Pelodiscus sinensis: one gene and its partner. Each later gene encodes a partner of the first gene's protein in a complex. Links are inferred from orthologs where the notes say so. Each region holds a gene or a part of one and is shown in the gene's direction. Other genes may lie near its edges.

Region 1 (16,594 bases):
ATATAATCATTAAAACACATCCCATTGTCATTTCCAAAAATATGTGGATGCTATCAGCAAGGAGTTTTAAGCACCGCTTATCTTGTGTTTATTAGAAAAAGACCTTCACTAAAGCAATCATGTTTTTGTCAATCACACAAATGTCTTTTAACTAATACGTCTATCAGAAAATATTGTGAATGCTGAAAAAATAATCACATTTCAGTTAACTTTCATGTTTTAGTGAGGCATCTCAATGGACTCAATTAAAAGCTTCCTCACAAGTCTCATTATGTGAATGATCATTGGTTCTCATATGGGTTTCTCCATAAGTGAGATTTTATCAAACACAGGTAGTGCTGAAACTTTTTACCATCATCTTTATCTGGTTTATCAGAAGTTGGCAACTGTTGTTTGACCTACTTAACTTAGAGAGCAATCCACTTATCATGCTCTAGTTTTTGTATTGCTACTTGAGTAATACAAAACTGGTGACATGTTAAAGCATTGGGTAAGCTATAACTTAACCAGCGTAAAGCCTTTTAGTGACATGGTTATCTATAAGCATGGTTTGTGGATTCACACAATATAGTTAATAATTAATTATAGCACCTAATCATGTTTCTTCCTTGCTAGAAGCACCGGCTGGCATGTGGTAGATTATGGCAGTTGAGCACTCTCACTTTTGGTAGGTAGATGTGACCATTTAACCATGCCTGTGTACATAATGTGGCTATCCACCAAACTTTAGGGCATTCACCTGTCTCCTATCCAAACTAATATTTTGGTCTGTCTTTCTGATATCAACTTAAGGATACCAAGGTGTGTGTTTACACTTAAAAATAGAGCTTTTATTCTTTTCCTTCTAAGCAAGGTAAGGATTTGGTTGTGCTAGGACAATGGGATTTGCTTTGAATAAGATTGTTTTTCATAAAACGCAAAAGGAGGGGTCTGCTAGCAGACACAGTTATCCTACAGAATGATCACTGGGGGGCAGACACACTGGTAGAAAAGTAGGCAGCTGGGGGAGGTGCTCTGGATGTTGGTGGCCACCGTACACAAGTAAGGTTCCCATACAGGTGAGTTACCAGTCAGGCAGCATGGCCTCCTTGGCCCCATGGATCTGGCACCTGCCCCACTTCCATGGCCAGCCCCAGAGAACTGGCACCCAGAAAGCATGGCCTGCGCCACCCCTGCAAGTCCCAGGGATCTGGTACCTGGCCAGCATGGCCCCCAACACCCTGTATTGGCCAGTCCCAGGGAGTTGCTGCTCAGGTAGTGTGACTCTGCCACCCCAGGGGTTGGCCAACCTCCTGCCCTGAGCTCCCACACTCCTAACTCCCCTGACCTGACTCCAGCACTCCCCAGCCCCTACCAAGCCACTCCAACTCTGACTCCTAAGCCCCCATACTTCCACCCTCCTGCCCTGATCCCTTCCTCACCCTCAAGACTGACTTCTGCATACCCCCCACACCCAGCACAGAGCCTCTCCTCACCCCCCCATCTATGAGTTCAGCACCACCCCACATCCTCAAACAATTGCTTTGACTTCTGCACCCCCCACACTCCCTGCCCCATCCTGAGCCTCTCCTTAATGACCTAAGCCAGTGGTCCCCAACATGGTGCCCGCAGGCACCATGGTACCCACCGGGGCATTTATGTGCATCCGCTGAATCATCTGGGTTGGCCCAGCACACGGCATATGCGCGGAGCAAGCCCTGGGCACAGAGCGCATGGGCGGCCCCTGCCCTGGGCGTGCGGCACACGCGTGGTGCCGACCCTGGGCGCAGGGGTGGCCCCTGCCCCAGGCACGCAGCATATGTGCGGTGCCGGCCCCGGGTGCATGGCACATGCACGGTGCCGGCCCCAGGCGCGCGGCGTGTGCACAGCTCCGCCCCCGCTCCTAAGCAATGCCCTGCTCCTAAGCAATGCTGGGAAATGTGCTAGTGTTATACTATATAACAACTTACTCTTCCACATTTCAGTCTCTAAGGCTATGTCTACACTACACTGTTCTTCTGGAAAAAGCTACGCAAATTGCGAACCACAATTTGCGTAGCTTTTTCCACTTCTTTTTTCAGAATAGGCTTTTCTGACATTTGGCCTATCTACACTGGGCCAAACGAAGGAAAAAAACCCTTTTTCAGAACATCCCTTCTTATTTGCAAAACAAAGTTTACAGGGATGCCAAAAAAGCGTATCTGCTCAGAAAAACTGTAGTGTAGATATAGCCTAAAAGTTAACATACTTTCAGTAACTAAAGAGCAGTTTTAGACACTAGTAAGGTCCCTTTCAGCCCTACAATTCTATCATTCTAACTGTATGAGGACATCACTTGTTTTGTGTGGGTACTCCCAGTGTCAATACCATTCACCATTCAAAAAACTATGGGCTATCGCAAAGATACTCTTAAAAGGCATTCTGGACCAAACTCAGCCCATAAAAGGGAGAGTTTGAATAACTCTCTATACTTCTTTAATAATCTATGTTTGAGCTTTCTTCAAGGCTGTTAATGAAAATTGTCAACAAGTATTTTAATATTTGTCCACCTGCAAACCCTTATACACCAATCCCGCTCTGCAGCTTGAGCACCAGGCAGGTGGGCTGAGCTGTTTGACCCTACTCCCCAGCAGAAGTGTTGGATGGGCAGGCAGAACAGGACAATCACTGTAGCTGGAGTAGAGCCAGGGCCATGGGGGTAAGCCTGGATGTAAAATTTACACCCCTGGCTATGCCCCTCCCATATGACTGGAAGAAAATTCCTTCAAATATGCAGATGGTCCACCTTCAAATCCTTAAAACTAACCTATGCTATAATGCCTACAAAACAGTGGTTATGACCACTACTTGTAAGATGACTCTTGATATCTGTTTCCTTGTTATCTGTGCATCTACCGCTCAGCATACCCTTCAATTGTAAACTCACTCATACTTTTTCTTTTCATTGTGACACCAGTGCTTAGTACGGTGGGACAATACCACGTTAGTCCAGCTACTAAATAGTAAGTAAGAGGATGCTCTCTAGCCTTTGTAGTCTGGTGCAGTGTATCTCAACCTTTTTTTTTTTTTTTATAAAGTACCCCTTTAAAAAAACATACCCCCCAGTACCTACAGTTCTCAAACACACAACATTTTTTTCTATCGTTGCAACACATTTGTCTAAACAACTTAATCATAGCTGGGTGGGCAATGACATTTTTGGGTGTAAAAAGTACAAAAATAATAAAATGCTGTGAAACTTAAAACAAAAATTCTGTTTTCTCCAATTTTCAGTTGTTTTGACGTACTCCCCAGACTTCTCTTGAGTACCCGTGGTTGAGAAACACTGCCATAGACTAGCCTAGTACATGAGTTTGAGGTTATCGCTTAAACTGTCGTAAGTGATAACAGATAAACATACTTCTGTAACTCTTGCAAGTTGGCTTCTCCCTATCGCCACCCTCACCAAAGCATCATTGCTGAATTATTGTACTGAAGTACAGACGGGGCGCTGAAGCTAGGGTTGCCAGGTGTCCGGTATTGTACCGGACAGTCGGGTATTTGCATGCTCTGTCCAGTAAAAAAAAACAAAAAATACCAGACATGTGCAATGTCCGGTATTTTCTGATTTATCCGGCTGCACATCGGACAGAAGCATGGCGTGGGCAGGGGGAACGGCTGGGAGTCCGAGCTGGGAGGCGGGGCAGTGATTGCTGCTTGGAGCCCTCTATTGGTTGAGTGTGAGGAGGAGAGGAAGCCTCCTCCTCGCTCCTGCGTCACAGGGAGCCTGCGCCAGACAGGCAGCAAGTGCTCAGGTCAGTCCCACTCCTCGTGGGCCAATTTGCTCACCCCCCCTTCCTGGCCGGCCAGTTCTCCCCCATTTCCCCTCCTGATCTCCCCTGGCCAGCCTTCCTGCACCACCCCCCAGCTCTGCTTCCTGCCGGCCTGTTCCTCTTCCTTATTTCCCCTGGCCAGCACTGCTGCACCTCTCCTCTTGCTCCCCCCACCCGACTGCACCCCTCCCCCCCCAGCCAGCTACGCTTCCCCTTCTTCCCGGCCACCCTCCTGGCCCCTGATCCCCCCCAGCTATGCTGCCAGCCCCCCCTTACTTCTGACCAGCCCCGCCCCCTTCTGGCTGGTCCCTCCTCCCCCGATATCCCGTGGCCAGCCCCATTCCACCCAACTCCCCCCCCACGACCAGCGCTGCTTCTCGTTCCCCCCCATCTTCCCCTGGCCAGTCCCATTGCCACCCCCCCCCCACTCCTGGCCAGCATCACTCTCTTCCTGGCCGGACCCTTCCCCTCCCAATGAAGTGTGTTCTGGGTTTTTTTTTAAATGATTACCTGGTAACCGCTACCAGTGATCCAGGTTCTCGGAAGTTGTGTGTGTGTGTGTGTGTGTGTGTGTGTGTGTGTGTGTGTGTGTGCTGGTTTTTTGGGTTTTTTTCCTCAACAACTTTGGTCCCCCTCCCGCCCTTTTTTTCCTTCAACAAATTTTTTTCCCGGTGGGTTTTTTTTTTTTTTTTTTTGAGGGGGGCGGTGTTCGGTATTTTTCTTTCAGCCCTCTGGCAACCCCAGCTGAGGCAGAGAGCAAAAGTGGCTTGTCCAGGCCAGGCAGTGAACTGGTGTCGACAGCGGGATCACCACCAAGCTCCCCAGCCTGGCGTGACTCCGCGAGCCGCTTCGTGCCCCCGGACACACGGAGGCGATAAGTCCTTAGTACTGCAGTGGTTCGGACCAGGCGGGCTCCCTAAGGATTTGGGACCAACCGCCCGCCTCACAACAGCACACGACCCCACAACCGCTGCAAGGCCGCGCGGTTGGTTGCCAGCGCATGCGCTCTTCTGGCGTGGCGCGCACGCGCTCTCTGCCCCGCCTCTCTTCCCTCCGCTAGGGCGCGTGCTTCTCCGCCCTGTCCACGTGCCCGCCGGGTCGCCCCATCTGCGCGGGCAAGCGCGCGCCGCCCGCTTCCGCGTTCTGCCCTTGGGAGCACTTTGGCGGTCTGCGCCTGCGCCGCGGGCGTGGACCTGTCTTGGGAGTGGCTATGTGCTAGTGGCGGCTGCGGTAGCGAGGATCCCCGCATGGAGCCTTCTCCGGGCCCAGCAGGTAGGGGCGGACCCCCCCTCCCCCCCGCGCGTGCGTGACTCCTGCAGCGGGGGGGGGGGGGGCAGGAACAGCAGCGCCCGCTGCTGCCGCCGCCTCCTGGTGCCGCGCTCTCACCGCCCCGGGAAAGCCCCGCGCGCCTCGGGGGTCGGTGGTGGGAGGGGAACGTGCAGGCAGGTTGGCTTGCGGTGCTGCCAGCTGGCGTTAAAGGTCACGCTGCAGGGCGCGCTGGGGAGCGAAAGTAACCCTGCTGTTTGCCTGCCTTGGGGCCAAGTGGGCCAAGCTGAGTGCTAGGATGAGCTTGGTTCTGCCGGCGGGTTGGATGTTACCTTTGGCCCTGGCTATACGAGCCCTGCGATACTCAGCCTGTTCTAGAGCAGGATCCTCTCTCCTCATCTTAGGAAAGTGGGGAAGGCAACATGGCCATTATTTCTTGGTACCAGCCAGTGACTTTCACTTGCTATCGCCAGCAGCAACAACGGGTCAAGTCTTAAGATAGACAAGGTGCTGGCAGCTGCCTGACTCTTAACTCTGTGCTGTGCAAACCAGTTTTGGGCAGGGTTCAATGACCGTGTTACTGAATTATCAGCATGTAGTCTATATTAGCATTCCTTTTGCTCCCACCAGAGGCCGTAGTATTGGGGAATGTGAAGAGGAACCTATAAGCTGTATTTACATTAGAACGAAGTGCTTGCCTACACAGACAAATTGTGTTGATACAAGTTAAGTGTTGTATTTAAACCTATATTATATTTAAAAAACCTCCACGTGGATGCTATTATTCTGGCATAAGAGGGTCTTTTCCCAGTTTGTTTCTTGGAAAGGAAAGATAAACAAGCTTTTTTTATACTGGAATACTATATACACAGCTTTATTTCAATATAGTTATATTGGTTTAACTATATATAAAGCCATGTTTATAATAGGAGTGTTTTACCATATGTGTACAAACATTTGCATGTACATGCTCCATACTAGTGGTGTGCAATCACAATTTTCATTGTCTTCATTTTAAAAGTTGTGTGCCCTTGTTTCACATACATTGACTATACCAGTGAAGCTGAGCCAACAACAATGCTTAAACATGGGTGTTGTTACCAATTTTCTAAAACATTATCTATTGCCAGTGTATGATCAAAGCTATTTTTTCAGAGCATTACTCTACCAAACACTGCCACTAGTTAGAAGAGTACAGGCAGTCCCCGGGGTTACATGGATCTGACTTGCATCGAATCCCTACTTACAAACGGGGTGAGGCAACCCCGCACTAGCTGCTTCCCCCCAGCAGACCAGGGAGACGCGGAGCGGCTTTTCTCAGCAGACACCTCAGCTTGAGACTAAAGGATTGAGAGAAGTGAGGTGTGGGAGAATAAAACTGAGCTCTGGAGAAATGTTTGGCTAGAGTTTCCCCTACAATATGTACCAGTTCCGACTTACATACAAATTCAACTTAAGAACAAACCTACAGTCCCTATCTTGTATGTAACCCGGGGTCTGCCTGTACAGCAATTTTTATAACATTCTTAAAATGTGTTTACACAGTAGGGATGTTAAATATCAGTTAATTGAATAGTTGATTAACCTCGTGAATTCTTATCAGTTACTCGATTATTCTATAGTTCCCGGGGGCGGGTGGGGGGGGGGGGGCAGGAAGGGGACTAGCAGCCAGTGTGCTCCGGTCCCACTCCCAAAGAGCCCCCTGCTTGGGGTGCTCGGCAGGAGCCAATCCACAAGGGGAGCCCGTTTAAAAACCAGTTCCCCTCATGGGCCAGGTGCCTGTCACCCCCACTGCTGCCTCTGATGCAACTCCTGTCTGGGGGGTGGGCCTGAGCTTCTGGATCAGGTGCATGCCAAAACTGAGCCGGGCTGTCTACCCACCTGGCTCTTAATACACTGTAAATGCAGAGCTGCAGCAAAAGTAGGTTCTGGACCTGGCGTGAGTCAGGACTGAGCCGGGCTGCTGACCAGACGGCTAAAAAATTAACAGGCAATGTGGAGGAATGCATGTAGTTTATAGCATTAACCTATAAGCTTTTGCTTGTTGGTTAATTGGTTAATTGACTACACTATTACATCCCTATTACCAGAGCTTTCTGCTAAGTTTAAACTTTATAAGTATGTATATACCTAAAGCAGGGCATTGGAACTCAGACGTCTAGCATCGACAAGACCTTGGGGCTTTTCTACACAGGAAATTTTTGCCAATAAGCTAGGCCTCCATTGCAGACTTCTCCCAGCACAGCAGGGCAAGGTGTGACAAGATGTGATTACTAACCAACATGGGTGCTGAAAAACTAGCTATACCAGCAATGCTACACTTTTATCCGTATCGCTTATTTCACTTATTTGGGGCCTTACCATACCAGTACTAGGGACATAAAAGGTTAACCCAGAAGACCCTCTGCAGCAGCTCCCTAGAGGGCCTGGCCACCCTCTTCCCCTGCCATAACACCTGGCCGCAGGTTACGGGCTGACTCACTGGGAGCTGCTGCAGAGCCTGCAGCAAAGCTTCCCTGGGAACAGGGCTGGCAGCAGAGCCTTCTCCCCAGGAGTGGGGCCATCAGCAGCCCCTGCTGTTCCTGCACCCAGGAAGGCGGCTTTGCTATGGCAGCAATTCTTCCTCCCAAGGGTGCCAGCCCTGCTCCTTGGGAGGCTACACAGCAGGCTCTGCAGTATAAAGCTTATTTAAGCTTTATACTGCAGGGCCCACAGCTGTGTAACCAGTAACCACTTTGATTTTTAGCGGTTACACCGTTACATTTTTAACTGTGTTTTTACATCCCGTGTGTGTTTGTGTATACCAGCATACTTGACTAGCAAAGCACAGCTAAAATAGTAAATGAACACTTTGTACTGGTTAGGGATGTGAAAGCTTAACTGGTAATGCTTACCGGGTGCAGGGAGCTGCTCCAGCCCCTCGGGGCTCACCATGGGCAGGGGCTGCTCCAGCTTCCTGGAGAAATCTCTGTTGATGGCACCCCGTTCCCCACTGCAGGTTACACGCTGACTCCCTGGGAGTGGGGCCAGCTGCTTTTCTGTGGCAGAGAAGCCGCCTCCCTGGGAGTGGAACTGGCAGGGACTGGCAATCCTGCTGCCAGGGAGGCTTCGTTGCAGGCTATGCAGTGTAAAGCTTATTTATTAATCTAACAGTGCTTAACATTGCTTGTTCTTTGCATTCATCAGTAATAAAAAACTGCATTTTATCTGTTTTTATTCTGCAGTTACACTGATTGGATGGCAATGAACATACTTTTGAACTTCCCAGGATGCATTTGGGAAATTGTTATGCAGTATGAGGCAACCCTTGGGTTAATCTGTCACGCAATGTTCCTCTCTGAAACTGCCACAACTTATGAACGAGTTACGTACCAAGCACTTGGTCATAACTCGATCTGTTCGTAAGTCGGATTACATTCACTTACGTATGGCCGCGCTGTTCATAAGTGCAGCTTTCGTTCGTAACTCAGATATCGGCTGTATAGGAGGCTGATCGTAAATACAAATGGTCGTAAGTCGATGCATTTGTAACTCAGGGACCGGCTGTATTTTGTTTTCTACAGGTTGGACCTCTCTGGTCTGTCATCCTTGGGATCTGACTGGTCCCGGACCAGGGGTGGTCCCTCCCCTAATGGTCCATGCTAAACTGCTGTTCCCCTTCCCCTGCTGCTTTCCCCATTGCTCCCTGACAAACCCTCACTCCCTGAGCTAGAGCTCTCCAGCTCCCATTCTCCCAGCTTCTGCCAGGGCCGGAGCTGCATGGCTGTGGTGCGAACTTCTTGGCTGCAGTTGGGGCTGGAGCTACATGGCTGGGGCTGGAGCTTCACAGACTACCCCCCCACAAGACTTCTGGGTGAGTCTCTCTCTCCTGCTTCACTTCCCCCCTCCCCCCATGTTACTGGCTCGTGGCCAGACCTCCTTACTCCTGGAATCTGTGGTCCAGGAACATCTGTAGTCCTGCCAGACCACGGATGTTGCTGGATCTGAAAGTCCTGGCTAAGGGAGGTACAACCTGTAGTGTATCGGTTTTCATTTTTTAAAATGAAACTCAGGCTTTGTCTGATTGCTCTGCAGTTTGGATTACTATAAAAGTGTTAATAGCAGCAGGTTGAAATGCTGCCACAGAACTCCCCTGTGTAGACCCTACGAGTGTGAACTGCTTTGCATTAATATGGTTCAGTTTGAAGAGGACTGTGCTAATGTAAACTAGGAACTCTAGTTTTGATCACATGGGGAAGTTACAGCACAACACTTTGATCTACACTGCTATTCACTCCCCACTAGTCCTAATTGGGGGACAGTGTAGGCAAGCATGTAGTTGCTGTTTGTTATGTTGAGAAAAAAACATCAAAATGTTAACTAGGTGCAGCTAGAATAGAGATATCTGTGTCAGTTTGAAAAGAGACTGGAGCAATAGCTGAGAAGTGTGAACTGCCCCATTCATTTCAGTGTGTTTACTCAGATCCTAGTGTGGTACTTAAATGTCAACATAGTTAACTATTTAATTTTGCATGTAAGGAGAGGAATAATCGCATGTCTGTACAATGTTTCCATGAGTCATGTCTCATTTTAGTGCCACAAGAAGTGAGGTGATGGTGGGCTACCAATATCACTACATACTATTTTCACCCATTAAAAAGAAAACCAAGTCCAGCTTGCCCAACAGAGCCCGTGGATGTACGGGAGCCCCTCTGAAGAGGAGAAAAGCTCTAGGAGCCTTTGAAGTAGGAATAAGAGATCCTCCAGAATAGGGCTTTATTCCGGAGGATCGGGCCAGTCTAGATGCTCTTTTCCGGCTTTTCTACAAGCTGGAAAAAAGCGGCGGATATCTTTATTTAAATCCCGCGGGGGATATTTAAATCCCCTGCAGATTTCCCTATTACGAAGTTTAAAATTAGCATGCCCCTTTCGGAAAAGGGGCCAGTGTAGACGTAGCCCTAATGTATGAAGTTACGTACTTAGAATTTTTTCAGGGAAGGCTCTTGCCTTTCTTGATGGCTATGCTGCACTTCAGTATTATGTTCAGTTAAAAAGTCTTTTTAGGGACTCAGTTTCTCATTATACACTTACAAAATTTGAGGGCCAGCTGCACTATTCTACTATGTGAATGGTGTAGAGTCATGACACATTAAAAAGATAGTGGAGGAAAGGAAAGACATTTCAGTGTAAAGGCAGGAAAAGACAAGGAAGCTAAGAGTTAGAAGTTAAAGAGTAGAGAGTCAGGAATAGAACTGGAGAAATAGTTAAAGGATAATTCAAAATGGAAAGGAAAAAGAAGAGTGGTGCAAGAGATAATTCAACAAATAGCCTTTTTAATGGCTTTTCATTTTTATTTCGTTTCTGTTAAGTAGAATAGAGATTCGGCACAGAAAAGAAATTTTAGGAACAGTCCACTTTCAAGATGGAAAATTGGATAACAGCCTTTCTGTGTCTTGTTTATACCCTGGCCAAAGGACAGAGAAGTGTTTGATGGAATGTTCTGGAACTCCTCTGGGAAATAAGATATCAAATAAATAAATTATATAAGTACCTGGACAGAGAGTGAAGTAGTATGCAATGCAGTTTAAAAAGATTCTTCACAGATGAACATACTATAACCCCAGAGTTCTCACCCTTTTACATCTCAGGATCACCTATATAGCAATATGCGAAGAGCAGGAATACACAACTAAGTGTGTTTTGACCATTTAAACTGGTATTTAGAGTCCTGCACAGATACATATATGTGGATCCGCCTCCGCCAGGCTCATTCTGTTATCTGATCCGCAAGCTGGATTTTATCTTCATACACATCTGCAGGGTGGCAGCAGCAAGCTGTCTTTAGAGGGTAGGTGGGAGGAAGCACAAATGAGTGAGGAGGGGACAGGGTCTTGCAGGGAAGAGGGAGGCAGCATGGGAACAAGGACTCTGAGTAAGGAGCAGCATAAGGGCAGGATGAGGGTCTCAGGTAGAGGTGGGAATGGATTTGCATTGTGTGCTTTTGCTGCTGGGGTGGGGGGTGTTCATCAGCAATGGTACCTGGTAGCAGCAGCTTCTGTGAGATCACAGCAGGGCAGAGGGGTACAGAGTTGGGCCGTCGCCCGCCCCAGTCTCCATGGCAGAGGGTGGGCCGTGCTGCCCTGCAATTGGCCGAGCCTAGGGCACTGCACCCGCTTCCCCCCATAGCTCCAGCCCCACAGAGCTGGACCCTCCCCTCTCTGAACAGGGCAGCTTGCTGTTATGCTGAGAGTCTTCCTCCTCTCCCAGAAGTGAGCCACCTCCCCCATGCATGCTCCCAGCTGCACTAGATGACAGTACGGAACAGCAGTGTGGGGCAAGTGGGCCCCTGGTTCGCCACAGGTCACTGTTGATTGGGTGTGGGGGCAAGGCTGGTACTCAGCTTCTTGTGCAGGGAAATTTGGGAACCAGTTGGCACTCTCTCCTTGCTGGCAGCAGGGGGCCTACGCTGGCATCCTGCCTTAGCTGGACAGCCGGGTACAGTTGGAAGAGACCCCTGTGCAAGTATTGGTGCCATTATCTGTGAAAATGGTCCATGGATATCCGCATTTGCGGTTGTGAACCGGCTATCCAGAGCTCTAACTATAATACATATATATGTCAACTTACTGTCAGCCGCCTTGATTTTTTTGTTTTGGTGCAGCCTGGAACTGGCTATTCAAGGTGATTGTGCTGCAAAGCAAATAGAAAGCGGTGTGTAGATACAAGCAAAGTGAAGAGTGAATTAGTTAAGCACATAGTTAAGAGTTTCTCTTCTTAGACCTTAGTGCTGGTTCACAGCAGAAATGATAGGATCAGGTTCCTCTATACGCGCTTCCTTGCTCTTAATTTTTAAAATTTATGCACAGCACTCCTTATCTGGGCCTTGAAAGAATATACTGTAGGAGGATGCTCTCATTTAGCAGCATTTACCGGATCTTGAAAGAGAGAGATTTGTGATTAAATAATATTTTTTAAAAGAAAGCATCCTTGAAGATTTGGACTTAAATTGAAGAGTCTAGTCTAGCATTTTAGACAGGATTTCTTTACACAAAAAAGTATTTGTAAAATAGATTGAAAAGTCTTCAAGAAAAACCACCAAAAATAAATGGGATAAACCATAAATAATTACCGGTATATTAGTAAATAGGCACATAAACAGCACACTCAGTCGCTGATTGGAATTGTGTGGTGAAATCTAATCCAACAATACCCCATCTTACTCATATTTCTGATTTAGTTTTGATGCCATTAAATAGTTTGGCTTCCATTTCCTGCAAGTTTTTCTGCTTATCCAGATGTTGTTTATTTTTGTTTTCACTGGAGATGTTAATTTTATGCTACATTCTCATTTTACCCCATGAGCTTTGTTTGTTATAAACATATAGCATTTTTTAAAGAGTTAGTCACTGATTTAAAGGCTGTATTCCAAGTTGTCTGTTTGCTCCTAACAGGAATGGAAAATGAATGGCTTCATGTTTTATGTACACAAATTAATTCACATTACTTGCACACTTTTTTCCAATTATGCTGTCATACTTGGGACGTAGAGCAGCTCTCATATTTTCAGTTGCACTATCAAACCATCGTCTTACCTTTGGGGAGTTCTAAACACCATGTTCTGCCAAGAATTTTTCATCTAAGGGTGGTGATGAGCTAATAAATGCAACAGTAACTATATCAAGGGTATATTGGTAATAGGAATGTTACTCTTGGGACTGCTGTTCTGGCAAGAGAAGCTGAAGTGTTCAGGTTTGACTGGAGGAATGTTAAACAGTGTTGCACCTGGGACTTGATCTGCACTGATGCTGTCATTTTATTCCTGCTGTCGTATTTGTGTATATCTGCTGACTGTAATATCACCCATGTAGAGAGTGTGTCTGTGTCATACATAGAATACAAAATACGTTAACAGAATTTTAAGTCACAAAGACAAAAGTTAGCAAATGTCAGAATTAAGTGCCTGTGCTACCTTAGCTGTTAGCATTTGAGATTTATAGCTGTGTACTATTCTGTGGTCCTGCTGTCCAGCCTACCTGTCTGCTCCCTATCTCCACTCCTTATGGAGACAAGAAGAGCAGATGGGGGTCAAAGAGGCAGTGCGAGAATGGAATTACATGGTGGAGGCCTGCTCCAATACCAGATTCCTTACCAGTTTCCTGCCATATGTGCATCTGTTAGGCTGGATGGGTAGTCTTTTCCAGGCTGCTCATGCATACTTCAGCCAACCAGCTGACCCTCCATCACTTCTCCTTGGCCATCAGGAAGGAATCCTGGCCTGACAGACATGAGAAGCTCTGTGAGCCTAGGTCAGCTCTTGGTGAATCTGAGTAGTAACTATTATGTCATGGAGTAAGTGCTTGCAGGATGAGGCCCTTAATTATATCCTTACTATTAATAAGAAAATAGAGGATGGATTCAGCGCTGGCACTTTTCTACTCTGGATTAGGAGTTGTCTTCTGAGGAACTTCTTTGAAGTATGTTTCGCTATATTTGTTGTTAAGCAAATACCTGGCTATTTGAAACCCCCATAATTAACGAAAACATGGCATTTTGCATAATCTGCCTTTGTTTCATCCCAAGTATTATAGTATTGCTGAACTGATTTCTGACTTACTGCAGTGTAGCCATTGTGGATTTCTAGCTAACATGCTTGTCAGTATTCTTATAATCCAGTACTGCCATATTGCAAGAACACATGAGCCCCAAAGCAAAATGTAAGATAACAAATTCAGCCAGTGAAAAAGGTGAAAATTGACTTCGAGGTGATGATAGAATGGTGAGAAGTTAGAGCTTCGGAAATTTTCCCTGGTGTTGTCATCCTTGTACTCTATCTTAATTTGAATTGATGTGAATATAGGATAGAAAATCTCAAAATCTGTGGGGTTTAATACAAAGATATATGCTACCATAGGTTTTAAGAAAATCCTAAATATACTGCCGTATAGAGCAACTGCGCTAACCAGACTGTTGAAAATAGTTTTAGAATATCAGGGTTTTCATGTCAAATGTTCACTTTGTTTTTATATCCTTTAGCTAATAATCAAAATGTCATTAGTAAAGAGCAAGCAACTTAGGAGCCCAATCCTGCAAACATTTATACACAAGTGGGCCCTCTGAACTTCATAGGATCGCTCACATGTCTAAAATTGCTCACTTACGTGTTTGCAGAATCAGATCCTAAGATCCCATTTCTGCGATGGGCTCTTCACAGGTAAATGTCTGCATCCATTTGAGCTTCACCACCTTCAGTGGGACTCTGGGTGGCTCCTGTTCTTGCAGTATGACAGTACTGGATTATAAGAATACTGACAATGGGGAGCTCATGCTGGCACTCCAGCCTGTGTTGGTGGGGCGCACCAGTGCTGGCTCTACAATGCTGGGGTGGGGGAGCCTTGAGTCTTAGGAGCCAGATTCAGGCAAGCCATGTGCCAGAGCTGGTCCCTGGGCCATAGGTTCCCCACCCCATGGGAGAATTTCCTTTCACTTTTCCTCTTTGATACACCAGTAATGAGGACCAAAAATTCTAGCATAGACAGAGCAATATTTCTCTCTCATTTGTCTTTTATAGGAGCAAAGGAAAAGAAAGATGCAAGGTTATTTAAATAGCAGCCTGTAAAGCTAGTTCTAACTAAGAAGGCAACTGTTAATGGGGTGAAGTTCCAAAAAAAATACACCTCCAAAACACTGCCAGATGGAGGTTAATAAGCAAGGCAGAGGTAGGTTTGGTGGCCACCAGCAAGGTCCAGGGAATACAAGCTGATGAGTTGGTCTGATACAAACTATATAGCAGCCATAAAATGGGAGAGGGTATTTTCATTTATCAGAACGCTATTTTTGCAGGACCTTTACTGTCATAACAGTCTTTGGCTACGAGCATTTCTCTCATAAATGTGGAAGTACTCTTTGCTTTAGGTGTTGGCCAAAAAAAGAAGCAGGTTTTTTTGGGTCTCTTCCTCCTCAAGAGCCTCCTGACTATTGTAAAAGTCCCCTCTACAATATTCTTTTCTCCATAGCTTCCTGACTTCTGTGCAAAGGGCGAGTGGCAATATTACAGGTGCTCCATGTTTTTCAGTTCCATATGGTTTCTATGTTTTTCTAGACTTAAGTCCTGATACTCTGGTCCTTGTAGATGTATCTATTAGGGATGTTAAATTTTGATTAATCAGCTAATTGAGTAGTTAATGGAATTTCCATCGACGACGTGGTAAGTTGATGTGGGTGGAGGGGCTACTACATGTGGTTCTTACTTCATTTAAAAGGCAGAGGCGCAGCAGTGGGGTCCTGGCATGAGTGGGGACTGCTTCAGTTCCCACTTACGATGTTTTGACTGCTGCGCCTCTGCCGCCCCTGCCTCCCTGAGGAGATGAAGCTGGTTTCCCTCCCAGCATTGGCTCCTACTCCCCCATTTGCTGCCTCTGTATCAGAGGCAGCCAAGGGGGGAAGCGACTAGTCGAGTAGTAACTTGATTACCCGATAAAAGTAGGCTTATTGGGTAGTTGACTAATCGCTTATATCCCTCGTATCTATTTTCTTGGTTTCCCTGTTTTTAATAAAAATAATAAACTATTGTTAGGAATAGAATGTTTTGTAATGAACTTATTAGAATAGACAGAAATTTCAGTTTGAACAGTGAACATGAAGAACAGTGAGTCTATTTTTGTGGAAAGGTGTAACATTGTTGGAAATGGCAGAAGGCTTTGAGGACTTCACAGCATGGTTTGTGATTCTATCTTCAGACTTTCCCTCACAAAGTCCTGCATTTTGTACATGGTAGCTGTTCTTAGAAATAATTTGAGGCTGAGCTGGCTTTTTTTTTGGGTCTTTTGAGTAAACAAGGCTTAGAGAGAGAATCGCTTAGGGAGAGAGTGATGGAAGAGGCGAAAAAAGGGGAAATGAAGTGGCCTCAAAAGACAACCTTTTTGATGGTAAAGCTCACTAGTTATTGCTGGCTACTTCGTATGCCTATTTGTGAATACCTCATTTCAATTTTCATTTGTATATTCTAAGTCAAACACTTATTTGGAGTATGAACAAGTCTGGGAAGTATAACGGTAATGAGTTTTTGTTTTTACAGTTCTGGTTTTCTGAACAATGATTTATGCAGACTAAGAACTGGGCATTTAAATAGACTGTCAAGGATGGTTTGTAGAACTGTGGTGGACAATAGGCTTTTCTTGACATTTCTTTCAGTTAAAGATTGAAAAGTGTACCCTAATATGTCTTTGAGTTTGGGGATGAAAAAGAATATAGTATTTAAATAGTGTATGTTGACAGAAATACTAATTTTACTTGGAGATATGGATTCCATCATCACAGAGGGTTACATAAGAACTGGGACTGTGTTTTAAACATGGAGTTCGGGTCATTTGTATTTATTTCTGTTGATTAAACTAATTTTAAACAAGTAATTTTAGGTTAAGCAGCCTGTTTCTTTCTAATTTTATAAACAAACTAAAATACAATTTAAAGTTGTGCTTGAATGTGTTATGTTTTCCCACTGTTAATGAGCTAGGAATGCAAGAGTTAAACTGGTTAACCAGTAAGCTGATGCTTATCAG
Region 2 (15,582 bases), on another chromosome or scaffold:
GGCCACATGGACAGGGTAAATCTCTGCTCTCTGAAATGGCAGCAGTAAGTCTCTTCCCTTAATCATAACTGGTCAAATATATTGCCTTTACCATTCTAGGCTTGTTTAGTTTAGAAAAGAGAGGACTGAGAGGGGACATGATAGCAGTTTCCAAATACCTAAAAGAGTGTTACAAGGAAGAAGGAGAAAAATGGTTCTCCTTGGCCTTGGATGATAGGACAAGAAACAATAGGCTTAAAATTGCAGCAAGGGAAGATTAGGCTGCACATTAGGAAAAACTTCCTGTCAGGGTGGTTAAACACTGGCATAAATTGCTAGGGAGGTTGTGGAATCTCCGTCTCTGGAGATATTTAAGAGCAGGTTGGATAGACATCTATCAGGGTGATTTAGATGGTGCTTGGTCCTGCCATGAGGGCAGGGACCAGACTTGATGCCCTCTCAAGGTTCCTGAAAGTTCTAGTATTCTGTGATTCTAGAAGTTGAGAGTGGATTGTTGATTGAAGGCCTGATAGGCTATCTATGCTTCCCCTATTCATATAGATGCTTGGCAGAGGTGCCAGTGGGCACTAATGGCAAGGCATTAAAAAGGCTCCAGGTCTTCCTAATGTCCCATCTTGGACAGTACAGGGCCACTTAATGAACTAATCATAGCTAGTGGGGACAGGGCTGTCCTGGGTGCTGCCCTCATCCAATTATCCTGCTGCTGTTGCTATTCATGTCCAATATTTGTTGCCTTTTCTGTTCTGCTGCAGCTTGGACCTCTGGCTGAGTGGCTGCTTGTGGCTTATTTGCAATGACAGCAACTGTAGCATCAAGGTTTGTATCTGCCATTGTGTTGGTCCTGCGCCATTGCTTGATCATTCAAAGCAGAGGCCTTCCGCTCTATTATTGAGTGTTTCCTCCCTCTTAGGCATTGTCAAGAGTTTGTATATCAGTGGCAGGGTTACGTTAGGCAAAGAGCGAACTTTAGTTCCATGTGTGGGTTAGTGCACTAATGTATCAGCCTCCTGCTTTGGTCAGTCTCAATCTGCTTAGTCCAGCAGGACAGTGATTCAGCCCTTATCGCCTGAGTGTCTGTGATTGTCCTCTTCTGGACTATGAAGTGTTTAGTTTCTGTCCCTCTGGGGTGTAGAGGTTTCCCTTTATAGCTGGTGGGATTTTTCTGGACTTGGGCCTCATCCGGGCTGGGAGCCCCTTTTGGTATTTGAGTCTCCAAACCAACACACTACACTGATTCTCATTCCTAGCCCTTAAACCAGGCAGGCAGAATCAATACACAGTTCTCCTCACTGAGCTTCTTCCTACTTTTTTTGGTTCTGTGGGCTTCTTATGCCTATGGTTCTGATCATCCTTTCTTTGTGGGATTGTCTCTGGGTAATTTCTCACCAGTTTGCTGGAATGATTTTTCTTCTTTAGCCTGTTTGCTCCTCAGGCAGCCACCCAATCCCTTTGCATCTCTGGTCTTTTATTCTCCCAGCTGCTGTGAGGCTGTCAATCAGAGCTGCTTGGGAGTTGCTGCATTACCTCTGGTTACCAGGCCAGCAAGGGGGTTATGTAAACCTCAAGACAGGCACTATTAAGTGGCAAAATTCTTGACAATTTCACTATTATGCACGTGGTTTGGCACAGAAATAGTAAAACAGAACAGTGTCCTGCTAATTTAACAGTCTAACTCTCCACAGAGTCAGAATGGCAACACTGCATTAATTTATAATGGATTCACATAGTTATTTTCACATCCATAAGGGTTATAGTATTTTTCTTAATTTGAGGGGCAGTTAGACTTCACTGATTTTTACTGCAACAGTTCTATCACAACCCAGATTTCAGGGGAAGACCCATATTCACCTGTGATGGGTGAGAAAGTGGACTTTTAACCTATGAAACATCACTGATACTAGGCAACAAAAAGAAAAAAGGCTGAGGATAACGAACAAGTTGTTGGGGGGGGGGGTTCTTAATATTCTTGGATCAAATTCAGCTCTGGAGAAACTCCACTGACCTCAGTGAAACTGTATCTGTTTACACAAGATCTGAACATGGCCCACTGTTCTCTATTGGGTCATGCTGAATTTTAAGATGCGTGCAAATGATCCAATATGAGCACAAAGGGCTCATTCTATATCAAAAGCAAAACAATCCCCAGTGACTTCAGTGAGAGGCCAAGAGAGTAAAAGCAGAGTCCTAAAATTATGCTGATTTAAATTGTGGGTGCCATTAAAAGCTCATTATTTACTACCACCTAGGTATTGGCAATAAGGATAATAAGTTACTTGTAAAAGAGGAGAATCCACAATACCACAATCCCTCAGGAATGGAAAAGGTTGAGTTTTTAATGGCACTTACTGCACAAAACTTATCACATTAATGTTATCACTCATTGTTTCCTAAATCAATAATGTACACTAAGAAAGTGGTTTTCAAAGCATGGGATGCGACCCAGTCCTGGGTCACAGAGGGTATGTCTAGACTGCATCCCTCTGTCGGCAGAGCGATGTAGATTAGGCAGGTCGACATTGCAAATGAAGCAGGGATTTAAATATCCCGTGCTTAATTTGCATAAAAATGGCCAACGTTTTTGCCGACTCAGCACTTTGTCAGCAAAACGCAGCAGTCTAGAGGGGGATCTGTTGAGAAAGAAAGCCTTTTTCGACAGATCCCTTATGCCTCCTGGCAAGGGCAGATGACTGTTTTGCGGGGCCCCGGGCATCATAACTCTGCGGGGCCCCCCCTTTGCCATGGCGCATGCGCCGTGACGCCATGCGCATGCGCGGTAGCGCCACAGCGCATGCGCGGGGCTTTTTTAAGCGCAGAGCCCAGGGCGGCCGCCCCGTTCACCGTGCCCTATATCCGCCCCTGCCTCCTGCGTATGAGGAAAAAAAGTTTGAAAATAACTGCAAAAAGAAATAGTGAACAACTCCTAAGTTTGTATAAGAGGAGATAAATATGTCTGGCCAAAATGAGGATCCTCTTTTAAAAGGTCACATTTTTAAGATTAATATCACTACAGAGTTAACAGGCAATGTGACATTTCCCACTTTATAATTTGTAACTGTTGTTGTAAGAGGCAAAGATGGTAATCTAAAACCTGATTTAGGAGTAGGCAGCAGAGATAAACACAGTCTTTTCTGTAGGGGTAGCACAGGCAGCAAACATGTAACATTCTCAAGATACATTTTGACAATCAGATAAGAAACCAAGAAGAGAAGTTCCCCCCTCCTTTTATGCATACAAAAAATAGCTACATGTAATAATAATTTTAAAATGGTGTCAATAAGAGTTATGTATGTTGCCTGTTGAAGGGCACAATAATTTAGAAATCTGAAGCCAAGTTCTTTTACAAAGCAGTAGGTCAGATGTTCAGAACCAACAACTGGGGCCAGATTTGGAAAACTCCCATTTAAGCACCTACATAAAGCCAGTTTTCCAAAAACATTCAGGATACAGCATCTTGGCTTCCAGATTAATGTTTATGGCCAGGTTTTATAGCACTGAACTCCTTTGAAAATGTGGGCTTGATTGTGAAGCGCTGAAAATCTTGTGAAAATCTTGCCCAGGGTAGTTAGTCTTCATTAGGTATAAATTACCAGATTAATGACTCACAACTCTTCAACTCTTAATCTCACACACTATCCTTCATCAAAATATGAGTACAGGTTGAAGAATATTCAGATAAATGTATTCAAAATTGGCAGGGCTTAATGAGATCCATCCTAAGATAGTTAAAGAACTCACTGAAGCAATCTCAGAACCATTAGTAATTATCTCAAAAAATCCTAAAGAACAGGATGACGTCCCAGAGGGCTGGACAAGGGCAAACATAGGACCTATCTTTAAAAAGAGGAACAAAGAGGATTTGGGGATTACAGAACAGTCAACCTAACTTTGATACTTGGAAAGACACCTGAACAAATTATTAAACAGTCACTTTATAAGCACCTAGAGCATAACAGGGTTACAAGAAATAGCCAAAATGTATTTGTCAAGAACAAATCATGTCAAACCAATCTCATTTCTGTCTTTGTCAGAATCACTGGTCTAATGGAGACAAGATATAGCTTGATATTAGTGAAGCTTTTGACACAGTCCTACATGACCCTCTCATAAGAAAACTAGTTAAATGTTATCATATTACTATTGGGTGGGTGGCCAATAGAAGATGTGGACTTACAAGGAAAGGTTAAAACAACTGTGCCTATGTAGTCTTGAGAATGGTAACAGTCTTCAAATATATTAAGGGTTGTTACAAAGAGGATTGTGATCAATTGTTCTTCATGTCCACTGAAGGTAGGACACGAAGTAATGGCATCAATCTTCAGCAAAGGAGATTTAAAGATTATGTAGTACCAAAAACTTTCAAGCTATAAGGATAGTTACGCTCTGACGTGGTCTTCTAAGGGAAGCTGAAGAATCCCCATTTCTGGAGGTTTTTTATGAACAGGTTGAACACGCACCTGTCATGGATAGTCTGATTTTACTTGATTCTGCTTTTGTGCAGGGGACTGGACATGATGAATTCTAGAGGTCCCTCCCAACCCTCTATTCCTAGGATTGAAGTGAATATAGCCCTATGGAAAATAATTGGATTCTTCTTTTTAATAATGATTGATCATGAGTAGGAGTCCAGGACCCTGGACAAGAATGGTCCTTAAGTGCTTTTAATATGCGATCTAGATTTGTAACTTTTTTATGCTTGATGGCTGAAATATAGATCTGTGAAAAAGTGACAAGTAAGTGTATAAATTACTGTGCAAATGATAAAAATATAATTTTCTAGATTCTAGATATATACATTTAATTCTGTAAATAAGCTAATACTTTGTTTAAAATACTGTCAGTTGAAAACTAAAATATTCTGGTTTTTTTTTAAATCAGTATTAGAAAAAATTGGAAGAGGTGGCAGGGGAAGTCATCATCATCATCCCTGGGAATAGAAATCAGAGTATGTTTTGATGAGGGTTGGCAGGAGGGTGGTGTGTTGACAGGAGAGGGTGCAGTTGGGTAGGCACAGGGGAAAAGGCTCTTAAGGGAACAGATGTGTATTTTGGGGCAGCAGAAAAAAAGGGAAGAAAGAGAAGGATTATAAAGGAGCAAGAGGTGTGTGGTAGTGGGGCAGAATAATGAAGAGATGTCAGAGTAGAACCAGGATTTTTGTGCATTGGAGAAAGGGCATTCATTAGGGATATGGGTGTGGCAAATTTACTGGAGATATGTTTGGGATTGTACTGGGAGTATGTTGGAGTGGATAGAGGGGTGTACTGGGGTGCAGGAGAGCATTGGTAATGGGTTGGGGGTGGATGGAAAGATAAATGTACTGGAACTGTGTCGGAGTTCACAGAAGGAAGTATGAACTGGTTTGGTGGAGTATACTAAGAGTGTATTGAGGTGGACAGAGGTATGCATATTGGATGTATGCTGGGGTGGATGGAGAAGTGCAGAAGGATGTGGCTGTATTAGCAATGTGGGGTGGAAGGAGAGGTGTATAGGAAAGGAAGAGTGCATAGGGAATGTGTTGTGTTGGATAGCGTGTGTATTGGGACAGGGTATTGGGAGTGTGTTGAGGTAGGTGGAGGAGTATACTGGGACAGCTGGAGAGCTGTAACTGTGGGTGTGCTGGAGTGGATGGAGGAGTATATGGGGGCTTGCTGGGGGAGCATTGGAGTGCGCTGGGGTGGTGTAGGGGGTGAGCATTGCTGGGGGGTCATTGGAGTGTGCTGGGGTGGTGTAGAGGGTGACTAGGGACTGTGCTAGGGGGTGCATGGAGAGAAGTGTGATAGAAGCTGGGGGAGTACTGGGAGTGCGAGGGGTGTGATGCGAAGGGAGGGAGAGAGGATACCGGAGAGCACAGCGGGCTCCTGCCCAGCTTCCGGGGCTGGCAGCGACAGAAGTGCCTGCTGCGGGGCAAAGGGGCTGGCAGCCCAGCCCAGCCCAGAGCCCCCGGCAGTAGGTCCCGGCCAGCCCCGCAGCGGCGCGGCAGCAGGTGTGCGGGGAGTGGGGGAGGCGGGCTCACCAGCAGCCAGAGCAGAAGGAGGCCCCCACGGGGCACTGGCCGGGGCTCCGCTGGGCGCCACATGGTTCCGATGGGGCTCAGGCGCCGGCTGCTCCCATGGGCGACGCGGGGCCGGCACGCGGCGGGTCGAGGCCCAGAGCGGCACTTGCTGCTGCAGGTCGGTGCCGGCTCAGGGCAGCCAGAGCGCGCGGCCGCCGGGGGAATCCGGCCACGGGGACTAGGCAGATCCTGCTTCCTGGAGCTCAGCCGCTGCGGGGGGAGGAGGCTCCGCCCGGGCGGGGCTGGAGTCTCGCTGGGCAGGTGCAGCACGAAAGGACGAGCCGAGCTGGGGACGCCAGGCGCACCTGCTCCTCCTTTGTTCCCTCCCTCAGTCTCGTTGACCTTCCCCTGGGTGTAACGGTGTGGAGGGGGACAACCCGCTCGTTTTGCTCGCCCCTAGAGCTATTTATCTGAGTCTGTGGATGCTGCTGGGACTGCCCAGCACTGCCTGACACGCTGGCCTGTGTATAGTGTGAATTGTGTGTATTGTTTCTCCTCCAACTGCCGCTCTCGGGATGGGGGAGTGGGAGAAAGGGAGAGAATTAAAAATACCTTAGTTTGCAGGTGCTCTGAGCCTCTGATAGAAGGGCTCATGCATTTACATGGACCAAGAGTTACAATGATTTGTGCTAACACATCACAGAAATCTCAGAGGGGTAGCCCTGCTAGTGTGTAACATTACAGAAGAGCTATTAATTCTCATGCTTCAGGATTTAAAGTTTAACCAATTGCTGTTAGAGCCCACGATGGGACCTACGTGAAACAGATTATTTCAAAGCTGTTGCCGTGGGAGTTCTTGCATTTCGTTCTGAAGCCTTTGGTCCCGATGTAGATACACACCCCGGCCTCTGTCAGATACTGGATTAGCTGAACCTGGGAGCTTGATCCATCTAACAGTTCCCATAATCTTATGCCTGTCTTTAGGTTTCCTGGATTTTTTTGCCTTAATAGACTTCCCATGATGACTTCCTCAGGAAGCCATCAGTCAAATAGGAATGCCAGTAAAGAGCTCTGAGAACATTTGTCACATCTCTAGAAAAGTGCACCTTGTAATTGTATTAGTTATTAATAATAACCTCAGAATTATAGAAATTACAATAAAAAGACATTGCATGGTCTGAAATCCTTGGTACATGTTATTACTATTATATTATCTGCATTATGCTAGAGCCTATAGGAAGTTAGGAACTGTCCACACACATAGGAAGGCATAGTAGCTACCATGAACAACTCACATAAATTGTACTATTTACTTATACTTTCAAACTTAAACATATGGCATGACTGTGCCAATTTAATAATAGAGATAAAATTATTGTTTAATATATGTTCCTGAAACATTGTAATTAAGAGCTGCATTAGATGATGAAGTTCAATATTATCTGTCATTTATGTACACCCATAGAAAGACTTGTAGGCTTCCTGCCCTCCCGGGACTAAGGCCTTGGTCCTAATCAATATGCTTTGACAGATCTCTTACAGATATGTGGAGCCCTTAATGCAGGTGGTATGTAGGGCTACACGAGGTTCCTTTACTCTCTGTTGAATTTTAGCCTTACAGGATATGACCCTTATTCTGCTCCCCATCAAATTCCCACCAGCTTCATTACCAACAGGATTTGGCAAATACTACTTCCCAACATCTGAAGTATTGTACTATGTACAAGTTCTGTCATTGAAAACACTTGTATCTGTCTGGAAAGGACACAGCCTTTAGGTTGACAAATATGCCGTCTTCTCATACTACAAATACTAGTCCTTTTTAATATCCAAAACTGAAAATTTAGTGTATACCATTATTTTCCATTTTTATGATGCAAAATAAAAGCCTGAAAAGTTTTGGGTTTATTTTTCCTTCTAAGAGCATTGGAAAACCTACTTTTTACATTAAAGATTCAGATTGTGTCCAATGTGCTTATCCTAAAATTGTAGATTTATGAGTCACCATTCAAGTGAAAGTTGATTAAAGGGACAATGACTTTTATTATTCAGTTTTTGAAATATATACAACTCTAACACCTTATCACGCAGGGCAGAAAAAGCTGTAAAATATTGAACATTATCTTGCCTTCTGTTAAAAACTAAGAAATCTCTTATCCTTATCTGGTATGTCCAAGAAGACCTCCAGCAAAACCAGCAAAGACTGACAACCTTAATTGATATTTGTTATACATATAAAAAAGCAGAACATAACCTTTTCTCAAATAAATCTTCCTGGCAGAAAATGATTGATAGTGCTCTTACAAGTAATTTCTTTCTTTGCACAGGTTACATTCAAAGTACCCAAGGAACTGGATTCCGGGACAAGCAGTATCGGGCTGGTTATCTGCAAAAAAGCCACTTTGGCATCTTTGGAGAGATAAAAATGTAATACAAAGCTCACGAACTTAGTTTGCTTGTTCTACTGTGTCTGAAGGCACAGGCACGGTGATGGTGGAACTACGAAAAGATTGGAGTCAGAATGTATGAGTGGTTTCCATGGGGTATATTATCATTCACGTCACGGGCTGTCAAATGGTGTTGAACAGCTGTTCTATTGCGCTCAGCTGACTGCACCCCTCTCCCCCCCAGTTCCTGTCTGTCTGTCTGTCTGTGCATCCGACGGGGCTTCTGCACCAGCCCCATCGCTACCACTGGAGTGCAAAGCCCGGCGCACGTCGCGGCCTTGGAGACGCGTGAGGCCCCCGCTGCTGCCATAGCCCCGCCAAGGAGCCCCCATCCCGGCACAGGCCGCACTGAAGCGAGGTGACGAGCCCCGCCCCCCGGAGCTCGCAGCCCGCCTCTAGGACGCAGCGGGGGACGCGCCCCGAGGCGCCTGCAGAAGTGGGGGGCGGGGCTGCCACAGCGAGGAAGCGGGAGACTTCGGGAAGGGGCGGGGCTTAGCTTCTCAGTGGCGCCTGCACTTGCCCCGGAAGCGGAAGCGGGTAAACTGCAGTCGAAGGTGAGAGGTCAGAGGGTGGAGGTCTGCCCCTCGCCTTGCCTAGCTATGGGGCGACACTCCCGCACGCTGCTCATCTTCGGCGGGTTCGTGGCCGTAGTGGGGGCGGCGTTTTACCCCATCTACTTCCGGCCGCTGCGGCAGGTGGACCAATATAGTGAGTACGGCCCCGCCGAGCCTGGCGTGAGCCCCGCGCCGCTCTCCGCGCAGCGCCCCTCACCCTCGCTCCAGGCGCCCAGCTCCCTGTCCCCGCCCTCCCGGCCGTGCCACGGGCCCCAGGGAGCAGCCTCCCCGTGGTGTATCCGCCACCGAGCTCCCCTCCCTGTGTAATCCCTGGGCCTCGCCCTCACGCCCCCTCTCTGTGCTGCTCCCTGCCCTGCAGACAGCGCTTCGTTTGCTCAGTGATTCCTCCCTGACTCGCCTAGTCATTACTTGGGTACAAAGGGGTAACCAGTAAACCAGCCTCCTGCCCGCGCCGGTTAACCAGGTACCTTTTAAACGGGATTTTACATCCTTAAAAACAACGAATAGTCTGATAGCATTTTAAAGACGAACGAAACATGTAGATGGTATTGTGAGCTTTAATGGGTGCAACCCTGTTCTTCATCTGACTATACTTATGGGCCAGAGATTCATCTTCTGGTGTTTGGTTTAGAGGGACTACTAAAGACCTGCTCAATTAAATTATGAGGGCACTGTCCGGTCACCACTGCTACTCCTTGATTCACGAGGAGTAAGGGAAGTTGACGGGAGCATTTGCTCCCGTTGACTTCCTGCTATGGAGATAGCTCGGCTTAAGGTACATCGACTCCAGCTCCATTATTTATGTTGCTGTAATTGTATTTATGTAGTTGTAATTAAGCCAGCCTTCCAAGTGTAATATAGATCTGGTTTTAGCACTAGGGATGTTGAAAATCGTGTAATAAGATAGCTGCGTAACTTCTGAAAATCTCAGTGGTTACATGGTTACACCTGCTGTGGACTCTGCAATGTAAAGCTTAGCTTTATACTGGAGGGCCCACAGCAAAGCCTCCCCAGGTCTGGCTCCTGGGGAGGTGTGGGGGCTTTGCTGTGGCACCGAATCTTTCTCCCCAGGATCAGAGTGGGTAGCCCTTGCCGGCCTGGCTTCTGGAGAGGAGACTTTGCTGCCTTTTCACAGCAAAGCTGCCTCCCTGGAGAACTGAGCGCAACTGACACCAATAAGAATCCATTTATCAATTAAATGGCTAACTGGGTACACTTTAACATCCCTACTTGTATCACTAATCCTAGCATCATCACCCCCAAATAATTCTCTCCATGCTGCATACTGAAGTGGTTGATGTGACTTCAATAAAGCTTTTGATATTGTCTCTCATGGCCTTCTCATAAAAAAACTAGAGACATACAGCTTATATGGAGTTACTATGTAAGGTGGGTGAAAAACTGGCTGGAAAACCATTCCCAGAGAATAGTTATTGGTGGAGTGATGTTGGAAGGCCATAACGAGTAGGATCCCACAGGAATCAGGTGTAAGACTGGTTCTGTACATTACCTTTATCCATTGTATAGATAATGGCATAGTGAGTACACTTGTAAAATTTGCAGATGATACCAAGTTGGGAGGACTTTGAGAAATAGGATTAAAATTCAAAATTATCTGGACAAATTGAAGAAATGGTCTGAAATAAATAGGATGAAATTCAATAAGGACAAATACAAAGTTCTCTACTTAGGAAGGAAGAATCAGTTGCGCACATACAAAATGGAAAATGATTACCTAGGAAGGAGTAGTGTAGAAAGGTATCTGGGGGTCATAGTGGACCACAAGATATGTATAAATCAACAGTGTGACACTGTTTGTTGCAATAAAAATAAATATATATATTTCTGAGATGTATTAATAAGAATGTTTTCAACAAGACGTGAGAAGTAATTCTTCCACTCTACTCTGTGCTGCTTAGGTTTCAAGTGCTCAGTTCTGAGCACCACATTTGAGGAGAGATGTGGAAAATTGGAGAAAGTTCAGAGAAGAGCAAACAAAAATGATTAAAGGTCTAGAAAACATGACCTATGAGCAAAGATTGGAAAAAATTGGGTTTATTTTGTCTGTAAAAGAAAAGACGTGAGAGAGCATTATAAGCGTTTTCAACAACATAAGTTGTTACAGAGAGAGGGGGAGAAAAATAGTTCTGCTTAATCTCTGAGAGAAGGACAAAAAGCAATGGGCTTAAATTGCATCAAGGAAGGTGTATGTTGGACGTTACGAAAAACTTCCTGTTAGGGTAGTTAACCACTGAAACCAATTGCCTAGGGAGTTGTGGAATATCCATTATTGGAGATTTTTAAGAGCAGGTTGGACAAACACCTAATGGTCTAGATTTGGGTGGGGAAACTTTTGGGTTTAGGGGGCTGCTGATCCACAGAATAATCAGTTGGGGGCAAAAACAAAACAAAAAAAAACCCCTCACTCACCTGATCCCTGACTGAGAAGGGGAAAAGGCACTCCCCACATTCCTCTTGCAAATCAGAGCCTAAGACCCAGAAGGGCCCAGGCTATTAGATTTTATGTGCTCCAGTCCTGTGGTGAGATAGTGGGGGAGCAAGCTGCGGGCTGGCCTGAGGCTCTCCACCCCATTCTAAATAATATTTAGTCCTACCATGAGTGCAGGAGAACTGTACTAGATGATATCTTAAGGTCCTTTCCATTTCTATGATTCTACGTATGGTCTCTTGGAATTACTGTTGTTTAAGACATTTTACTTGAGCAGTAGAATGGTGATTTAAAAAAAAAATCTTTTATATTGTAAACTGTAGTGTGATTGTGGGTTTCATATCTATAACACTTGCTAGTTTGCTTGCTAGAGAGCCTCCCATGGTGTCTGGAATATACATATATAGACACAGAGAGCAACAAACTTACTAGAAACAAGCTAGTACAGGTTGAACCTCTCTAGTCCAGAATAAGGATGTTAAATGCGATTATTTGGCTAATCATATAGTCAATACAATTTGTCAATAAACACTTCTGCAGAGCCGCAGCAGGGGTAGCTCCAGAGGAGCTGACTCAAGCCAGGACTGAGCAGTCCTAGCTCATGCCCACTCCAGAGCCACCTGTGCTATGGCTCTTCATTTTAAATGCTGGGCTCTTACTACATTTAAAATACAGAAGTGCAGCAATCAGCATGAGCTGGAACTGCTCAGTCCTGGCTTGCGCTGAGTCCAGCAGTCCCTGAGTGCAGTGGACAGTACTGTCCACCGCAAACAGGGGCTGGTACCAGAACAACCTTTGTTTGTGTTGGCCAGGTCTGGCTGTGGGCAGACGCTGCTCAGGCAGCAGTCCCTGTTCGTGACCAGCCCTGGCTGCCGCCAATGGGCTGGTGCCAGAACAGCCTCTGTTTGCAGTAACCAGCACTAGCTGCTGTGAACAGAGAGTGCTCCAGCACCAGCCCCTGGTCCTGGCCAGCGTGAATAGGGGTTGCCTGGTGGCAACAGCCCCATCTGCAGAGGGCGGGGGCAGCTCCTCTCTGGGACCCCTGTGGACAGCTTCATCCCCTATCTTCCTCCCCTCCCCCCCACTGCCTCTGATGGGGGAGGGAGGGCAGATGGCACCCTGGAGACGGTGCTGGAGGAACTGGCTTTTAAGCTGCCTTCCCCCAGCACCAATTCCTGCCCCCCCTTGCTGCTTTTCATAGAGGCAGCAGGGGGGAGGGAGGAGAGGAGAGGAGGGCACCAGAGAGCATGGAGCAAGCGGGGACTGCTTGAGTCCCTGCTCATCCTGTGTTCCCTGCAGTACTTCTGCTTTTGAAATGTGAAGCGCCTGTAGTAGGAACCGGTGCTAGCAGGAACTGAAGCAGTCCCCACTCGCACCATTTCCCGCTGTGCCTCTGCCTCCCGCTGAGACGGCTTTAATTAGTCAACTAATCAAATAGTCACTGGAATTTCCATTGACTATTTGATTAATCAATAAGGGCACTTCTGCTTTGAAATGTAGCAAGAGTCCACTGGGCTGTTGCTACGTTTCAAAGGCGGAAGTGCCACCTGTTGTTCCACCTTTGAAATGTACAAGAGACCCAGCAGCGACTCTTGTATGTTTCAAAGATTGAAATGCTATATGGAGCCTGGCTGGAGAGGCAGCAAGGAAGGGGAGCAAGTAGTTGACTGGACTACCTAATAAGCCTATGATTATCAGGTAATCGACTGGTTGACTACTCCCTTACATCCCTACCTGTGAGGCATGAACATATCTTGAAATCTGTATTACTTCAAGCCCACACATCTCCCCAGGAACCAGTCCCGAGGAGGCTTTATTTAATCTGTATTATTTAAAAAAATCTTTTCTTCCTCCCCCTCAATTCTGAATAATATTGCAGTAGAAGTGAGTTTTAAGGAGTGATTTGAATGAGACAGAGGAGAGTATTTGAAGCTTGAGAGGTGCATAAAACTTCCCATAAGTATGCTACATAATCTTTATTTAATGTGAATTTAAGGGATAATTTAGTTACTATTTATGCTAACTCGAGTGACTAGAACATTGTAAGTATTTCCTTGAATGCTAGTCAAACTATATTATCTATCTTCTTTATTTTTTATAGTTAATTTTTTAGAATATGGTACTTTTCTAATGTACTGTTCCTTTGTCTCTTAAATCATTTTTAAACTTGCTGCTAAACTATTCTATAAACAATTTTTTAAAAAGCAATTTGTTTTAATGCATGACTTATCTAAGTCAAAAGTGTTCTGCTGTTGCAGAACCAGCAGGGGGAGCATAAACTAACTTTCAGTTGATTTCAGAGTTGATTGTTGTTTCAACATTCACAAAGAGCCATATAACAACTTAGATGAAAAAAAGTTGCAAAATATAGATCAAATTTAAGCACAGAAATTTTATATTAATTTTTAAGAAGGGACAACTAATAATGGACGACAAAGGATCTGATTGCTACATTTTACATTTCTGTTCTAACACAAATTTTATAGTGATTCATTGATTAAAAGAATTTTAAAATATTTATGAATCATAGAAGGGAAAGTGTAACATTAATTTCAGAGGGACCTTCATTTTATTTCAGTTTAAATGTCATGCTGATTGGTAAGAACCTATGATCTGTTTGAGAATCTGCACTTACTCAGACTGAAGCTTCCCATAAAGATACATTTTCTGTTCTAGCGGTGAGGAGTCCTGTGGCACCTTATAGACTAACTGAAGTGTAGGAGCATAAGCTTTCGTGGGCAAAGACCCACTTCGTCAGATGCATGCATCTTTGCCCACGAAAGCTTATGCTCCTACACTTCAGTTAGTCTATAAGGTGCCACAGGACTCCTCGCCGCTTTTGCAGATTCAGGCTAACACGGCTACCCCTCTGATATTTTCTGTTCTATTTCCTATCAAAAACTGATCATTTTTCTCTATATCCTGTTCCTTTTTACATTGCAGTTTTAAATATAAATTGCACACACAACATTATAAGGAACATGCTTAAGGTACAAAGTCAAGCATTCAAAAGTTCAGAAATGCTAGAATTAAGGTTGCCTGTTCAATGTTAATTCACTCCCCCTTGTCCATATACATTTTAATATAGTCCATCTCCCTGCTCCTCATGTGATGATCCTACTAATATTTCCACTTCTAGTCCCAGCCTGCTTCTCTTGCTCTTTAGCTTCTATTTTTAGTCTCTTTGGCCAACAGATGTCAGTCTCCTCTTCCCTGTCTGTCTCAGTTTCTCTCCCTCTCACTCTTCTGAGTGAGGGAGGGTGAAGCTGTGGCAGATACCAACAGAAATTTTCCATCCAGATATTTAAACGTTGAACATCATTACAAAGAGGTTCTTTCTATTGGGAAGTGCCTTAATTCTAGAATTTCTGAACTTTTGAATGCTTGACGTTGCACCTTAAACATGTCCCTTATGTTGTGTGTGCAGTTTATATTTAAAACTGCATTGTAAAGAGGAACAGGATATAGAGAAAAGTGATCAGTTTTTGATGGGGAAATAGAACAGAAACTTTAATGTGCAGTGCTACTATACTAGCCCAGTCTATAATAAGATACATTATAATATTATAAAACCACACTCCCATTTTGTAAAAATGACTATCCTGGGTCAGACTAGTGGTCCATCTAGCCCAGTATATTGCTTTCCATCAGTGACCAGTGCCAGATACTTCAGAGGGAATGCTGAGAACAGGCAATTATTGCATGATCCATCCCATTGTCCAGTCCAGCTTCTTGCATATGGATGTTTAGAAATACACGGAGCATGGAATTATATCCTGACCACTTGGACGAATAGCCATTAATGGACTATTCATAAAAATATTGGATTCTTTTTTGAACCCAGTTATACTTTTGTCCTTTTCAACAACCTATGGCAATGAGTTCCATAGGTTTACTGTGTGTTGTGTGAAGAAGTACAAGTACTTTCTTTTTGTTTTAATCTTTCTGCCCATTAATTTAATTGTGTGATTTCTAGTTATTGTTTTATGTTAAGGAATAAATAACACTTCCATATTCATTTTCTCCATACCATTCATGATTTTTTAGACCTTTATTAGATTTTCCTTTTATGATTCTCTTTTCTAATTTGGACAGTTCCAGTCTTTCTTTTAATCTCATCTC

What was found.
Region 2: CMC1 (region 1) and SMIM20 share a complex: the UniProt entries of both Homo sapiens proteins name them as parts of the MITRAC (mitochondrial translation regulation assembly intermediate of cytochrome c oxidase complex) complex. The link is inferred for Pelodiscus sinensis from reciprocal best matches to the Homo sapiens genes CMC1 and SMIM20.

Annotation. Positions count from the first base shown.
Region 1 is NC_134712.1:186,367,368-186,383,961, reverse strand, and holds the start of CMC1 (COX assembly mitochondrial protein homolog), read left to right. Parts: upstream 1-8,776; 5' UTR 8,777-8,816; coding exon 8,817-8,910; intron 8,911-16,594. UniProt on the Homo sapiens protein: Component of the MITRAC (mitochondrial translation regulation assembly intermediate of cytochrome c oxidase complex) complex, that regulates cytochrome c oxidase assembly.
Region 2 is NC_134715.1:101,590,052-101,605,633, reverse strand, and holds the start of SMIM20 (small integral membrane protein 20), read left to right. Parts: upstream 1-8,960; 5' UTR 8,961-9,035; coding exon 9,036-9,144; intron 9,145-15,582. Other genes in the region: SEL1L3 (protein sel-1 homolog 3), read right to left, coding at 6,011-6,073.